Oryzias latipes: one gene and its partner. The protein of the gene in region 2 interacts with the protein of the main gene of each other region in a biochemical or structural test. Links are inferred from orthologs where the notes say so. Each region holds a gene or a part of one and is shown on either strand. Other genes may lie near its edges.

Region 1 (3,007 bases), on a different chromosome or scaffold from region 2:
ACCTTTGCAGATAGAGGCTGGCCTTTACATTTGGAAAACAAAAAACATTTTACTTCTTCATCCAGTATATTTGCTGTGAAAGAAATGCGTAAAAATTTATCAATTTACCCAATTTTTTGTTGCAGTTTTTCATCAAATCAACCCTAAATCCTAATATTAAACACGAAAGTCAAAATGTAAAAAAAATAAAAAAAACTGTTCAGCTGATAGCCCAGTGACGTTACGTAACAGAACGCAACTGCGCCGTCTAGTGGTATGACAGGGTATTCACGTCGGATTGCTGTTAGAACTGTGAAATCCTGAAAAATAGTTAATATTTTAAAATAGACAAAAGAAAAGATTGACACTAAAAGCAAGAACAAACTTTAAAAGCTATATTTTAAATTGATAATTTAAACAAAAGTGCATTTAGGTGAAGTTTATGTTACCTGAATTGACAAAAACATCAATAATTGTTTAAAATGTTTTAAATTTGTTGACAGCAAGACATCCAGTTATATAAACTATATAAATTCTATATTGATCGATATATTATAACCACGTTATTTACAGAAAGTTATCAGATGATGTTCACATTGTGCGGCCACTCATTTCAAGCAAAACAATAATAATACAAAACAATTTTCTCCACATCCTTTATTGGAATATTTTGGGGCATGTCAATAAACATCACTGTATCCAAATGAACACAGTGGCACCGTTTCATGTCTGAGGGAAAGCAATGGCTTAAGACAATACAGATTATTTCAATATTTCTAAAGATTTCCAACACTTCACAAAAGGCACAGAAATCAGGCCCAACAGTTACATTTTTAGTAGAATTTACAAATGGCTTTAAACACAAACATTTCAGCTGGAGTTAAGAACAGAGTGCACACAGACTTAAAGACAAAGGCAAGAGCTCTTGCCTGGCAGTCTAAGATGTAGAAAGGAGTCTACCAAAATATCTACAACTAATTGATGGGAAGTCATGCATTTGTGTTTTTCACGTAAATGTTGACAATACTTTTACTTCGTGTTTTTGCATTCCTAAATTTTAATCTTAGCAATAAAACTAACAGTGTTGGAAACATTCACTATTCCCAAAAACCAAAGTAAGGGCCTGGTCCTGGCAGGGACTTTTGCATGTGTTTATGCAAAAGCAGGACTGGATGGGCCTCTTTGTAGTGGATGAACATCCTCAAAGCAGATATGCAGCATCCCTTTGATAAGATGTCACCCCGCTGCTCAGACAACCTTTTGCAAAGCTACACTTGAAACTGCATAATGTTCTGCTGATGTGGTACAACTTCACTGGTTTTTGTCTGGCCCTCAGATGCAGACAGGAAGGATTTTGGGGGGGGGGGTGATAAGAGACAAAATACTGGTCAAAAAGTTGCACATTAAATAAAGCGTTAACTTTGTCTTCTTAGGCAACATTGGCCCCCGCTTCCTCCTCGTCAGGATCCCGGAACCCCCCTTCCTCGAACTCATTGTGTACTATGTATCCCTCATCTTCATCCTCTCCAACTTCAAAACCCTCCATTTCTGCATTCTCCAGCTCCTTGTCTCCGTCCTGCTCCATGTTGCCCTCTCGTTCTTCTTCTTGGTCTGCAGCTGTAGCTGCCGGCGGTTCTATCTGCACCTCTTCCATCTCTTCTTTGACAGTCTCTTCCTCAGGCACAGGTTCGTCTTTGACCTCTGTCTGACCAGCTGCTGCCTCACTGGTTACCTCAGAGGCTTCGTTCGCTATGGAGTCCTCTGGATCCTGCTCATCCTGGTTACCAACAAACGGGTTTTCACCCTGAAAGAAAACGAATATCTGAAGTTTCGTTAATGAAAACTAACAGGAGTATGTAAGGGTTAATGGCTGACGAAGTGTGCATTATCAGAAATTACTGCACGCTTCCGCGAAGTGCATTTATTTCTGATAATGCACACTTTGAAGGCCATTATCCCGCTTACACCATGGTCACATAAGAAACATATTCACTTTATTTTATTTATTTTTTCGGTTCGGATCGCTTTTTTTTCTACAAAAAGTGGACTGTTTGTCTTCATCTATGGGTTTAAAATATAATTCAGAATTGTCAAGCAGATGTCACTTCACTTGATTCCTCATTTTCCATTCTTCAGTGACAGGCCAGATGGGATCTACTTACCTTAAGGTAGCTCTCCAGCTTCTTGCCAATCAGTTTGTGGTTAAGAATGCTTCGAGCGACTGACAGACATCCTCGCTTGGACTGTTCCATCATTCCCTTAAAATAGGACAGTTCCAGATTGAACATTTACAGAAGAATAAGAAACGTTAGTCACTGTCGTCGTACCTTCAGGTAGACGGTCTAAAGGAATGCCGAGACAGAATTTGCCCCACCAATGCGTAAATTGGCTGTGCGACTTGCGTTCAGTGTGAATGCAGCTTTAGAAGTCTTAAAAATGTAATAATAATAGTAATTTTACTTTATCCCACAATGGGGAAATTCCTTCTCTGCATTTGACCCATCCTCTGGGGGGAGCGGTGAGATGCGGGCTAGCCGCGCTCGGGGGAAATGTGACAAATCGCATTCTTGCATATCAGAGAAACAAGTTACTGTGGTTATAAGGTAGCACTCACCCAAAAAGCTATGTGCTGGTCTGTAATAGCTGTCTAAACATGATAATTTTCTAATTGGACATCATTTGTGTGTAAATCCTTTTGCTCTGCATTTTTTCTGATCTGAGTGATGCTTTTATGTAGTTGGTTTCCTGTCAAACTCTTCAAAGGCTTGATGTGACATACCTTTCGGTTGTAGTTATGGTCATGAGACTTGATGTGTTTCTGGATCAGATGGGGCTGCATGGGAATGAAAACATCACACGCTGAACAGTGAGCTGCCTCCACCTTCCTCATGAAGTGCTCCATGCCCAGTTCTGCAAAAAGTGTTGGATATGCTGTCAGTATTTTGTTTTGGTACAAAAACAAGCATTTGTACCTTTGACTGTATATTAGAACTGCACCGAATGACTCCCCCCCCCCTCGCATTCCAAA
Region 2 (4,339 bases):
TTCGCGGGCCGTGATCTCTGTAAACAACACAGCACAAAAGGGGCGGAGTCATCTCTGACATCACCCGTAGGATTCTGCACAGCAGTAACGAATCAAAATCGATTGGTTTTTGTTGCATCCACCTCAACAGGGTTGAAGGCACAATGGGGCGGGAGAAAGTAAACTATTCCTATTTGAGGGGTGATTCGTTTGTTTCATATTTATTAAAAGAATTGGTTTCTGCCGGTATTAGTCTTTTGTCATTTAGTTTTAAGAAAAATTTCAAAATGCTAAAAAATACAAGCTTTCTGATACTTAAAACACAAGAGAAAAGGTTTTCTATTTGTTAAGGAAAGCACCAATTTCTATTTACTGGCTCTGCTAAAATAAGCGTAAAGAATCTCAGCACAGAACCGTCTCTGTGGTCTCATGTACAGACATGTCAAAACTTACTTCTGCCGAGCTTCCTCACGAACAGCTGCATCTCTGCTATGAAGCTCCTGCAGACAAATAACATGGCAGAGTTACATCCCGTGCCTTTCAAAGTAAAAGCCTAAAGCCAAGCATCCCTCAGGAGCAGACTCACCTGATGTGTCCTCAGAAAGAAACCTGGGCGTTTTTCTGCCAGACTTTCAGGTTTTAAAGCCTACAATGAAGAGCAACACCACAAATCACGACCAGAGACCACGGAGCTGCACCCATGGGGGGGCTTTAGAGAACCTAAACGCCATCCCCATGTATTTCCTCAGCGTGGTCGTGAGTTCTAGTGTCGCTCTGCAGGCTTTGAGTTGAGCATGTGGCTGTGAGGGCTCTCCGGTGTAGCCGGCACACGCAGGAGCTCTCTGGGTTTGCAGCAGTCCGGCAGAAAAACACACAGGTGCTACCAGTGAGCGGCGGGCCCAGGAGTGTGGCCCCTTTCAGAGGAAACATTTACCAACCCGAGAAGCTGCAGCTTTTTAATTAGAGTTCATTTGTCAATACCCCACTCTCCCACCCCCACCTGACAGATCTGAACAGCAGAAAAGACCAGATCCAGACTGACGAGAGACCTGGGCTCGTCAGGCTGGATCTGGTCAGACGGCTTGTAGGGGAGCGCTGATCCAGACCTGTTGTGATCGGGTCCCACTTGGCTGTACGTGTACTCGGAGGTGATCTTCTCCTGCTGGAAGAACCGGTTGAGACGGGCCTTGGCGTTCTCCAGGGTCCAGTTTCCGTGCAAGTTTGCATTCAGGTCTACCTCCTCGGATTCCAGCGTCTACAACAGGAGAGCCGCATTAGTGGGACCGGTACTAAGGCAGAGCAGTCCCACCTGTTATGAAGCCGCCTAATGTTGTCACAGTCATGTGACTGCAACATGTGACAACACAGCTCAAAAGGACCGGGATCTTCTTGAAAAGCAGCTTCATGGCACATAGCTGGCTCCAGTACCGCTTGAGCCTCCTGCTCATCCCTCCGGGCGTAGTACTCCTTCAGGTTGGCTCCTCTGTCCCACTCAGCCCCTCCTCCTCCTCCCCCATTGCCACCTCTAGGAGGGAACCCTTGTTCAGTCTGTCCTGGAGGTGCATTGATGAAGGCATCAGCCTCTGAAAACAGAAACCACAGGATGAAGAGGACTGAAGTCAGGGAGCAGCAGGTTAGGTGTGTTCGGCTCAAACCTTTCTCCACCTTCACCACCAGGTGGGGGGGCAGCGGCCCGCTGGCTGGGAGGGTTCCGAAGCTTCCCGGAGGTCCTTCGGGCTGGTTGGGTTCTGGAGCCACGGCCTGGGTAGAACAACAAAAGGCCGTCAGTTCCGGTTAAGTGTTCGCTGCCCACTGGTAAACTTTTGACTAATCCTTGCAGTCTCCCAGTCTTTATGGATCTTGACTTTCTAAATGGTTTTCTGTTCTGGCCTGAACATAGCTGGATGCTCTATTGATTGGAAAGATGTTCCTCTGGTTTGCTTTGTTTTTACATCTCCTTTAAAAAAGCGTAAAAAAAAGCTTTCTGACCCCCAGAGCTGGAACCTCTTCAGCCTTCATCTCCCCGACTCGGACCAGATAGTTGACAAAGTCCCTGGCGGCGTTGGTCTGAGCATCCTTCTTGCTGGTGGAGTTTCCCATCCCCACATAGGTGAAGCCATCCACCCGCACCTTCAGGAGCAAACAGAGACGTTACGGGAGAGTCTGGTTACAAACCAGCTGGCTGTGAATGCAGACCGACCTCACACATGAACTTCTGCCGGTTTTTGTTGCCCGCCGCCCGGATTTCGTAGTTGGGAGTCAGCTTTTTCTTTCCACACCAGGCGTACAGGAAATTCTTGATGTCCGCCATAGTGGCGAGCTTCCAGCTCCGCGTGGGCTTTACCTGCGAGCTTCAGGTGTGCCCTGGTCCCTTAGTGTTGCCTGTAAAACACAGAGGTGGCTCTGAACAACCGCAGAATCACTGGCAGGCGTCACATCAAAACATACAGTGTTGTTCAGGAAGCTACAGTAAACCGCTGCCTGCGTGCGTGTCGTAAAAGAAACCCTAAACAGAAAAACATATGTGCGCCGACACACACACAGGGAGAAACGATAACAACACTAACGTTACTAAGTCACGGGGGAAATGTTTGACCGTTTTTATACTTCAGCTAGCCACGTGCAGCTCCTATCATCAAGCAATAATGTGATCCTCCATGCAATATTTTTCCCCAATTGATCCCACATTGAATCATCAGTTGCAACTGAGACAACTACAACGAAAATGCTAGTATGCTAACGTTAGCTTCATTCATCAACCGGTGTAAACGTTGACAGACGCATTGAGGCTAAACTAACTAACGCCAGTAAGACACGAAGTACGTATGCAAAATAAATATTAAAAAAGCAAACATTTTCATTCTAACATCAACGACTACATTCAACACCTACCGTCCGCTCAGTCAAGTCTGCAGTGCAGATTCCTGCAAAGCGGCAACAGCGGAAGCTTTGAACTCTTCTACCGCGCAACAGCGCCACCCTCTGTTCTGGAGGTGAAATGAACTGTTAGCTCCTGGCAGTGAGTTGATCCTTTTTTATCAACGCCCCTCTGCATGATGATTTTTTTTATTCTACTGGGATGAGAACTAGATTTCTGTCTTTTGTCACTCTAGTTGGTTTCCTTTACTCAAATTACATTGTGGTTAACATCAACCCATTGTCCACAAGGATTATAAGTGGCCACTGTGTCATAAACATTCATAAAATCAGTGTAAGTTTTTGTTGTTGTTGCTGTAATCAAATTTAAATTATTAAAATTATTCCAACCCTGCGAGAGACTGGCGACCTGTCCAGGGTGCCCCCTGCCTTCGCCCACAAGTGGCCGAGATAGGTTCTGGCAGCCCCGTGACCCCGAAAGGGAGCAAACGGAAGAAGATGAATGAATGAATGAATGAATGAATGAATGAATGAATTAACGAATGAATGAATGAATAAATGAATGAATGAATGAACGAACGAATGAATGAATGAACAAATGAATGAACGAACGAATGAATGAATGAATGAATGAATGAATGAAAGAACGAATGAATGAATGAACAAATGAATGAACGAATGAATGAATGAACGAACGAATGAATGAATGAACAAATGAATGAACGAACGAATGAATGAATGAATAAATGAATAAATGAAAATTTTTCACAATTTCTCCTTCATGAATTCAATTCAGCATTTATGTAAGTTCCATAAACAATCAGAAGTTCAAATTTCGAGTAACAACTATGGAAATATTAATCTTGCTTCTGTGTGATTCATATTTGGAGCACGAAATATGGACTCCAAATGTAAATTATATTTTAAATCAAGTCAACAAAAACCTTTTATTTTGTTACGTGGGATGTTCCATTGTTTTTCTCACGAATAAATTTTGTTTTAACAAATCAGTTTATTTTTATAAAACAAAAATCTTCAAATGACCAAATCCTTGTCTAATTTCTAAACTTCTCATCTGATTTTAATTTAAGAAAAAACCAGATCTCTCTTATAAAATGACATAGCTGTAACATGACCTGCATTGTAAGGTTTATTAGCTTAAAACCATAGATTTTTATTTCATTTTTATTTTTTCAGTGTCAACCGAAGATTTAATCTACAGAATCTACAGAAAATCTGTCCTGTTTATAGTCCTGATAAAACCAATAGTATGAAATAGAATTGCACATTTTTGCTGCTCTTTGTTTACTGCTGTAGACAGGAACCTCACAGGAGAGAAAACCACGCTTTCTCTATCCATATCCAGTTTTTTGAGGTGGTCAGTCGCTGAGCAGAGTAGCCATAAACGCCTGTAGAGGCTCTGGCAGAAACCTGCTGTAGTCACAGAGACGGTGAAACCAGTGTGTCTTGTTCTAAAGCCCCA

The links.
Region 1: the proteins of dhx9 (region 2) and A-kinase anchor protein 8-like form a complex in vitro, tested with the Homo sapiens proteins (2 studies listed by BioGRID). The link is inferred for Oryzias latipes from reciprocal best matches to the Homo sapiens genes DHX9 and AKAP8L.

Annotation. Positions count from the first base shown.
Region 1 is NC_019859.2:24,048,096-24,051,102, forward strand, and holds the end of A-kinase anchor protein 8-like, read right to left. Parts: intron 2,890-3,007; coding exon 2,759-2,889; intron 2,238-2,758; coding exon 2,142-2,237; intron 1,784-2,141; coding exon 1,409-1,783; 3' UTR 620-1,408; downstream 1-619. UniProt on the Homo sapiens protein: Could play a role in constitutive transport element (CTE)-mediated gene expression by association with DHX9. Increases CTE-dependent nuclear unspliced mRNA export.
Region 2 is NC_019875.2:12,671,663-12,676,001, forward strand, and holds the start of dhx9 (ATP-dependent RNA helicase A), read right to left. Parts: upstream 2,970-4,339; 5' UTR 2,872-2,969; intron 2,362-2,871; 5' UTR 2,291-2,361; coding exon 2,180-2,290; intron 2,110-2,179; coding exon 1,969-2,109; intron 1,741-1,968; coding exon 1,635-1,740; intron 1,563-1,634; coding exon 1,408-1,562; intron 1,235-1,407; coding exon 1,086-1,234; intron 626-1,085; exon of another isoform or gene 566-625; intron 480-565; coding exon 433-479; intron 18-432; coding exon 1-17. UniProt on the Homo sapiens protein: Multifunctional ATP-dependent nucleic acid helicase that unwinds DNA and RNA in a 3' to 5' direction and that plays important roles in many processes, such as DNA replication, transcriptional activation, post-transcriptional RNA regulation, mRNA translation and RNA-mediated gene silencing.